Macaca fascicularis: one gene and its partner. The main gene of each other region encodes a partner of the protein of the gene in region 2 in a complex. Links are inferred from orthologs where the notes say so. Each region holds a gene or a part of one and is shown on either strand. Other genes may lie near its edges.

Evidence for each region.
Region 1: the proteins of TUBGCP3 (region 2) and TUBGCP2 are in contact, whole or in part, in a cryo-EM structure (PDB 8Q62), measured with the Homo sapiens proteins. The link is inferred for Macaca fascicularis from reciprocal best matches to the Homo sapiens genes TUBGCP3 and TUBGCP2. Residues at the interface, in NP_006313.1 of Homo sapiens: Glu272, Asn273, Cys274, Ser286, Leu287, Asp289, Thr290, Val292, Arg293, Glu296, Trp299, Ser361, Thr363, Leu364, Arg365, Leu368, Val369, Tyr372, Lys375, Ile376, Lys379, Ala382, Ala383, Asp386, His387, Ala402, Tyr403, Lys405, Thr406, Gly407; in NP_006650.1 of Homo sapiens: Gln172, His173, Pro175, Ile176, Phe177, Pro178, Trp180, Arg184, Ala186, Leu187, Ile188, Gly189, Phe191, Leu222, Tyr223, Val226, Val228, Asp229, Gly230, Arg231, Glu278, Ser281, Phe283, Gln287, His290, Ala291, Ala294, Arg297, Val300, Lys301.

The regions. Positions count from the first base shown.
Region 1 is NC_088383.1:142,360,854-142,365,108, reverse strand, and holds part of TUBGCP2 (gamma-tubulin complex component 2), read left to right. Parts: intron 1-1,659; coding exon 1,660-1,867; intron 1,868-2,147; coding exon 2,148-2,347; intron 2,348-2,693; coding exon 2,694-2,883; intron 2,884-4,225; coding exon 4,226-4,255. UniProt on the Homo sapiens protein: Component of the gamma-tubulin ring complex (gTuRC) which mediates microtubule nucleation.
Region 2 is NC_088391.1:102,961,397-102,965,651, reverse strand, and holds part of TUBGCP3 (gamma-tubulin complex component 3), read left to right. Parts: intron 1-2,875; coding exon 2,876-3,065; intron 3,066-4,255. UniProt on the Homo sapiens protein: Component of the gamma-tubulin ring complex (gTuRC) which mediates microtubule nucleation.

The DNA of each region.
Region 1 (4,255 bases), on a different chromosome or scaffold from region 2:
GAAGCAACTGACTTCTTTTTTTCTTGAGACAGGGTCTCACTTCGTTGCCTTGGCTGGAGTGCAGTGGCGTGATCTCAGCTCACTGCAGCCTCGACCGCCCAAGCTCAGGTGATTCTCCCACCTCAGCCTGCCGAGTAGCTGGGACTGCAGGCGTGCACCATCACACGCAGCTAATTTCTGTATTTTTAGTAGAGACGGGAATTTGTCATGTTGCCCAGGCTGGTTTGAACTGGAGTCAAGCGATCTGTCCACCTTGGCCTCCTAAAGTGATGGGATTACAGGTGTGAGCCGCCGTGCCCGGCCTTGAGGTCCCTCCACAGTCAGGCAGCCGGATCCACACTAACCCCCACCCCACCGTGAGGCTTCTCCCCACATGGGCACTGGCCACTTCGTGGCTGTGGGTGAATGAGGCCAACAGGGTGGAAAGGAAGTGGTGCAGAGTCAGAGGCAGTTCCTGGAAGATGCACTTGCTGTTCTCGAACCCCCACGCCACACCTGCTGCTTTAGGAATGGCAGACCTCGGGGTCCCTGTTTTATTGGCCATCCTGAGAAGCCGCTGGAGTAATAGACAGAAATGGAACTTGAAGCTGAAAAGTGTAGATCTGCCAGCCTGGGCAACACGGCCCGACCCCGCCTCTACAAAAAATTTAAAAATTAGCCGGGAATGGTGGCATGCGCCTGTGTTCCCAGCTCTGAGGGAGGCTTAAGAGGCAGGATCGCTTGAGCCTAGGTGCTCAAGGCTGCAGTGAACTGAGATTGCACCACTGCACTCCAGCCTGGGTGACAGAGCAAGATTTGTCTCAAAAAGGAAAAAAAAACAAGGACAATGTGGATCTGCATCGTGATTGAGGCTTTTGCCGAAGGGCTTGCGTTGGTGACGGATTGCAGCTGCGCTCAGAGTCTTGAGGCCTGCAGTACAGGACACTTCCCAGCAGACGTGTGAGGCCGACAGTGATTTTGTAAACTGGAAGCGTGTTGTTTGGAGCCTTCCTGAGCTGCTAGGGCCTGGTTTGGGTGTGGTCTGGCTGGCACGGGGCCCTGTCAGGCCCACGTGGGGACAGTTTCAACATCGTGCTTTCCTCTGGTGCTCCTCCTGGCCCCCCAGGCAGGGCCCGCCTGAGGCTGTGGACTGAGAACTTGGTCCTGGGACGTGAGGGGTTTGGTAGGTGACGGCCTGTGGCTGTCCTCATGAGGAAACTTAGCTGTGTGTCCTGCAGCCGTCTCATGCTGTGTGGATAGAAATTATCAGCGTTTCTTAACGTATAAATGATAACTTTTTGAAGACAAGGTTTTTTGTACCAGAGTAACCCAGACTTACCAAGTTGTACTTACGAATGTTGAAAGTGCTGCTTCTGCTGGAGTTGCCTTTTCAACTCCTAACTTCATCTTTTCAAATGTCAGCCATTATCTGAGCATCGCAGAGCCCAGTGTGGTGAGACCTTGACACAAGCCCCTCCGCCTCCCAGGCCGGCCGCGTCCTGTGGTGGCCGGAACTCAGCCTGTGGCTGCCCAGTGGGGTCAGTCAAAGCCAAGTGCAGTGGCCGACCTTTTATACCCATAAACAAGACGAGCAAGAGTGAGACTGACCCGCGGAGGAGGCACGTGGCTGTGGGGGCGTGGGAGTGGGGGCCGCGGCCACAGCGCTGTCTGTGCCTGCAGGCACGCTGCCCCTGGCCTCGCAGGAGTCGGCCGTGGTGGAGGACCTGCTGTACGTGCTGGTGGGCGTGGACGGGAGGTACGTCACTGCTCAGCCCCTGGCTGGGAGGCAGAGCCGGACCTTCCTCGTGGACCCCAACCTGGACCTGTCCATCAGGGAGCTGGTGAACAGGATCCTCCCGGTGGCTGCCAGCTACTCCACCGTGACCAGGTGGGCACCGGGTGCGGTCGCTGGGGGCGTGCCCTGTTGTGGGGGAGGGGTTGGGTCCCGTCCTGATGACCATGGGGACAGTGCCAGACTCAGTTTTGGAGGGTCTGTGAGTCACCGTCCAGGGTCCTGACTCATCTCCTCCTAGGGGCAAAAGTTCCCCTCTGGGATGTGGGGTTCGAGTGAGTCATGTGCTTCCTGTTTGGGATGAGACTTAGAATGTCAGACGTTGGATGTGCCTGCAGCTTGCCTTTTTGAGGAAGTCTGACAGCTTTTCTCATAGGTTCATTGAAGAGAAGTCTTCCTTCGAGTACGGGCAGGTGAACCACGCCCTGGCGGCCGCCATGCGCACTCTGGTGAAGGAGCACCTGATCCTGGTGTCACAGCTGGAGCAGCTGCACAGGCAGGGCCTCCTTTCGTTGCAGAAGCTCTGGTTCTACATCCAGCCGGCCATGCGCACCATGGACATCCTGGCCTCCCTCGGTGCGTGCCCGCCCGGGGGGCATGGGGCAGTGGGTGGCAGGTGTCTCAACACAGCACCCGGTGTGAGGAGAGACCACAGGGGCTGTGGAGCAGCCGCCCAGGGCAGGTGCGTGCGGCCAAAGCCCCTGTTGCTCCATGTGTTATTAACTTGCAAGAGGAAAGCCCTGGAGGCTCTCACTGGTCAGCTTAAATCAGCAGCTACAGCCATACAGTTCATACGTATCCCAGAGAAGCAGCAGCACGTCCCAGTAAGAAGGCTGGAGAAGCATGTGGGGCCCCAGCAGTGTTGTTGCTAGGCTAGGCGTGCACTTCCTTCTCGGCAGTGAGCCTTTCTTTCTCCCTGCAGCCACCTCAGTGGACAAAGGCGAGTGTCTTGGGGGGTCCACACTGAGCCTGCTCCATGACAGGAGCTTCAGCTACACAGGGGACAGCCAGGCGCAGGAACTCTGCCTGTACCTGACCAAGGCGGCCAGCGCTCCCTACTTTGAGGTTCTGGAGAAGTGGATCTACAGGGGCATCATCCACGACCCGTACAGGTAGGGCTCCCGGGACACAAAGGACGTGTGCCGCCCTGTCCCGTACAGGTAGGGCTCCCGGGACACGGAGGACGCGTGCTGCCCTGTCCCGTACAGGTAGGGCTCCCCGGGGACACACAGGACGCGTGCTGCCCTGTCCCGTACAGGTAGGGCTCCCGGGACATGGAGGACGCGTGCTGCCCTCTCCGGGGGGCTCTGGCCTTGTTTTGCTTGTGGTCTCAGGAAAGCACACACCAGACAGGCGTCCACTTGCTGCTGCCCATGCGGCCCAGGACAGGAATGGCCCAGCTGCTTATGGCCTTATTCTTTTGTGTGCAGAACATTAAATTGCCTCCAGCTAGGTCCTTCAGCCTCTTTGGTGCATGGATTTCCTGATCTGGTGGGGTCTGTCGGCTTCTCTTCGGCGAGATATATTTAAATGCATAAATATATGTTAGTTCCCAAAGCGTTGTATTAACGTCTATCATGTCGACGTACCGTTGTTGAAATATTTTCAGAAGATGCATGTGTGATGTGGACATATTATGTCTTCCCTAACGGACCAAATACAATGTGGTACAATGGGCACCTTTAAACAAAGCACCTTCGCACTCGAAGCAGATGATGTTTGAGGTTGTTCAGATGACAACGTGGAGATGTCTGGTTTCTGTCCGTGTTGGCCCCACGCACCCCACACGAGCATCATTTTGTTGCCCGGGTTCATCATGGAAGGAAATGCTAAATTCCAAAAAGAGGCAGGTGCAGATAAAGACAAATCAGTTTCCCACCTAGCTCTGCGGACCCTGCATTCTCCCTGAGCCCAGGTTAAATGCTCCGTTCCAGAGTGAGGTTTGTAGGTTTGTTTGGTTTTCTTTTTTTTCTTTTTCTTTTTTTTTTTTGAGACAGTCTCGCTCCATTGCCAGGCTGGAGTGTGGTGGCGTGATCTCGGCTCACTGCAACCTCCACCTCCCAGGTTCAAGTGATTCCCCTGCCTCAACCTCCCAAGTCACTGGGACTACAGTCGCATACCACCTCGCCCGGCTGCTTTTTTGTATTTTGGTAGAGACGGGGTTTCACTGTGTTGGCCAGGATGGTCTTGATCTCTTGGCTTTGTGATCCGCCCACCACAGCCTCCCAAAGTGCTGGGGTTACAGGTGTGAGCCACCGCGCTCGGCCCCTAGGTTTGTTTTAGCCCACAGTTGAGAAATAACTGGTAGGTTAGGCTTGGCCCTTGTGGAACGTTACTTGGAAGTATGCTGGCCTCCGTTAAGGTCCCTCCACGCTGCCGGCCTGGAGAAGTGTGTCGTCTGCCTCACAGGCGCCCTTGCTTTGCCTGTGACCGAAGCACTCCCTGTGGTTTTAGTGAGTTTATGGTCGAGGAGCACGAGCTGCG
Region 2 (4,255 bases):
TGGAATGACAGATGTTCTCTAACAGGACTTGGCTCTCTGGACAGGAGGGCTGGGGATCAGGAAGTCAGTGATGGCACTAGAACTCTGAGCTCATGAGGCCTAGTCGGAAGGGCAGCAGGGAATTTCGGAAGAGGATAGCACTGAGAGAGGAGTGTCATTTAGGGCAATTTGGTTTTCAGTAACTGAGAGGACTTACTAATGGAGGCTTCCAGCATGTATTGGAAATGCTGTACTGAAACTCTGGTTAAAAGTTAGGGCCAAGTATAGAGATTTTGGAAGCATTTATCTCACCATGGTAACTCAGGACAAGGCAGGATGGTGTAGCAAGAGCTCCCGTGTGGTCCAGGGCAGGTCCCTTTTCAGGCGTGTGAGAGCCATGGCCCCTCTCACCCTAAAGCATTCACACACCATTTTACATGTATTTTTTGGGGGGGAGGTCCATATACCCCAGATTCGTTCCTGGAATAGAGATAGATGTGATCCAGTGCAGATTTTGGGGAAATGCTTCTACATTGAAGAGGTGGAAGGAAGAAGAACCAGGAGAGCAGTTGTGTTCAAGTCATGACCTTTCATGGTGCCTAGAGAAGATGGCGCAGAAATGGCCTGTGCCTGGGACAGGGCGTCCCCACGCTCCTGCTGTGCGGGAGACTCTCCATGAAGGTTGCTGCTGCTTGTGCGAGCTCTGAGTCTGCAGTACTGCCGGCGGCCCCCACACCCACCGCCCCACATCTGCAAATTCAATCAACTGAGGATCAAAAACACTTAAAAAATGCAGCCATTAAAAAAATACAAAAAAAATCCACCCCAATAGTGTAACAGCTATTTGCATAGCATGTACATTGTGCTAGATATTATAAGTAATTTAGAGGTGATTTAACGTACATGGGAAGATGTGTGTAGGTTAGGTGCAAATATTGCTCTGTTTTATAGAAAAGACTTGAGCATCAGGGGATTTCGGTATCTGTGGGGGTCGTGGGATTGGTCCCCTGCAGATGCTGAGGGCGACAGGGCGCTGCTGCTTCTCTGAAATGACTCCTGCTGTCCCCATCGTCCTGTCCACGGCTGCCAGGGTCAGTGGAGAGCAAAGTTTCTGCTGTTGAGTGTTTATAGTATAACTGGGAAGATAGAAGACACAAATCCTAAAAGACTCCGGCCGGGCGCGGTGGCTCAAGCCTGTAATCCCAGCACTTTGGGAGGCCGAGGCGGGTGGATCACGAGGTCAGGAGATCGAGACCATCCTGGCTAACATGGTGAAACCCCGTCTCTACTAAAAATACAAAAAAAAAAAAACTAGCCGGGCGCGGTTGTGGGCGCCTGTAGTCTCAGCTACTTGGGAGGCTGAGGCGGGAGAATGGCGTGAACCCGGGAGGCGGAGCTTGCAGTGAGCCGAGATCACGCCACTGCACTCCAGCCTGGGAGACACAGCGAGACTCCGTCTCAAAAAAAAAAACAAAAAAAAACAAAAAAAACAAATCCTAAAAGACTCCTAATAATGGTCAAAAAACAGGAGAACATGTCAGATTCATCTTTATCTGTGAAAAGGTTATGAAGATGTAAAAGTGTGAATAAAGAATAAAGAGTGAAAATTTAAAAACTGGAGCACGAGAGATGCCTCAACCCTGAAGGAGCAAAGAGAGTTCCGAGGAGGCTCTGGGTTCTGTGTCTTCATAGGCTGGTTTGGGCTGAGACTGATTAAGACTGATTCAAACCTTCTCTTTGGAATGAAAATGTTTAATGACTCAAGGGAATAATGAAAACATTTCCAGAGAAAAATCTTTATATCATTAAAATTACGTAGATCAACGGAAATAGAACCCCATGCCCTTAAAACAGGACCGTGGTGAGCTCATCAAGGGGTTCCGTGGTGTCGTGACTCCGGGCAGACCTCACTCATCCTCAGATAACTACAGCTCCTTCACTGGGAGCATCTTAGTTTTTTACTACCGGTGTGTAATTGGAATAATAGCAACACTAAAATAGGCCTGTCTTAACTGCTTTCTTATTCTGAAGGACAAACAAATCTTAGGAGTCTTCTGATATATTTAAACTGGGTAACTCAGATAATGGAAAGAGACTTAAACTGAATCAGAAGCTCTCGCCTTTCTTGTCCTTGCTTAGTCTTTAGCTAGCGTTTTGCTTTCTCTCAGTCTGAGGTTGTTCCTCCCACTGGGGTTATTGTCTAGCTTAAGTGTTATTGTGGGTTTAATGACTGATGTATTCATGTAAGTTTTAAAACCGGTTTTGTGCTTTGCGGATGTAAATCAGCATTGTAAGAAGCTCTGTTATGTGTATAGTCTCCACCTGCGATTTCTTCTCAATAGAAAGCTATGGAAATGCTTTCTTCCCCTATGTTACTGCGTAGAGTCAGGCGTCTTTACTGGTGACAATCTGGGTTTGTCCCCTAGACGTCTCCAGCAATCTCTGTGGAGTTCACTCTATGATGCGTGATACTACTCAACTTTTGCGAGTTGTACAATTCACAAAGCTTAATAAGCATGTGCTGTTTTGGTCTTAAGACTGATTTATGGAAACGTCTTATGGGTATGGACGGGTGACTCAGCTCTGGCTTGCCCTGTTACCAGTGTGTTTAGGTGAGACTTCCGGTTAGTTCCAATGTATTAAGGGATTTGGAAATCATGAAGACACACACGTAGGCGTCTGCTGTGAACTCAGCTGGCAGAAGTGTTCTCATCTTTGTGGTCTTAGGGCTCTGGTCTCCTTCGTGGAACGTCCAGCTGCCTGTGCCTGAGGTCGGTCTGTTACTGGTGCCACAGACCGTGGTTGGCCCTGAGTCTGGGTGTGTGTACCTTCATTTCTCCTTTGTGAAAACACAGGCTACGGATGCATGTGTTCTCTTCCCTGTTGTTCTTTACAGCTGCAGACCTGTTCACAGACTTAGAAAATGCATTTCAGGGGAAAATTGATGCTGCTTATTTTGAGACCAGCAAATACTTGTTGGATGTTCTCAATAAAAAGTACAGCTTGTTGGACCACATGCAGGCAATGAGACGGTACCTGCTTCTGGGTCAAGGAGACTTCATAAGGCACTTAATGGACTTGCTAAAGTAAGACACTATTTTCATTTCTATAAATGAGTAATATATTTGACATGAGAAGGAATCTTGTGTTTAAAAGAATAAATTATATTAAAGGAAAATGAGTTGAATTCTTCGAGCATACTTTTTAAAATAAAATCTGAAAAAAATGTAAAATTTTCAAAAGGTAAAGCCCCTTTATTTTTCTCTGGTTATCAGCAGAGCATCATTGTCATGTTCTGTGCTTTATTCATAAGAGAAACTGGCATTTATTACCAAAACTATGGCGCTTACAGTCTTCATGTATGAGGAGTTTGTCTAATCACAATTAACTTTAGCTTTAGCTTGAAATAAAGTGAAAAATAAAATACACATTTTAAAATTGAATTTTACTTTTATATTTGTAGTTAATGTTTCACATAAAAACAAAACTACAGCCCTTTTTATTTTGCTCCCTGACATTTCTCATGGCATCTTCCCTTCCAGAGTTAAATGTGTGTCCTTCTCCACCAGTAGAGACAGAGACAGTTCTGGACCAGAGCCTGCTATGCTCCTGGGTCTAGAGACAGTGCAGACCCTGGCCCAGGCAGTGTGAGCCTGGGCATGAGCACCCCCGGGGGCCACAGCCTGGGCCTGGAGATTTTCACCCAAGTGTTTAGAAGAATGAAAGTTATTTTTTGGTGTTCCTTTTAGGACACTTAAAGTAAGCTAAATGTTCCCTTTAAGACACAAAATCAGCCGAGCGTGGTGGCTCAAGCCTGTAATCCCCGCACTTTGGGAGGCCGAGACGGGTGGATCACGAGGTCAGGAGATCGAGACCATCCTGGCTAACCCAGTGAAACCCCGTCTCTACTATACAAAAAAACTAGCCAGGCGAGGTGGCGGGCACCTGTAGTCCCAGCTACTCGGGAGGCTGAGGCAGGAGAATGTCGTAAACCCGGGAGGCGGAGCTTGCAGTGAGCTGAGATCTGGCCACTGCACTCCAGCCTGGGTGACAGAGCGAGACTCCGTCTCAAAAAAAAAAAAAAGACACAAAATCATAACTTACCTTTAAACCCTGCCAGTGCTGCCCAGGCAACTGTTTTAGGGCCTCAGATCCTCAAGTTTCAGTGGATTGCAGCCTAGAAAGCTTGCTTGTGGGCCCAATTTAGAGAATGAGATTTTCAGGTGTGGGGTGGAGGATTTGCATTTCCAGCAAGTTCCAGCTGCTGGTGATGCTG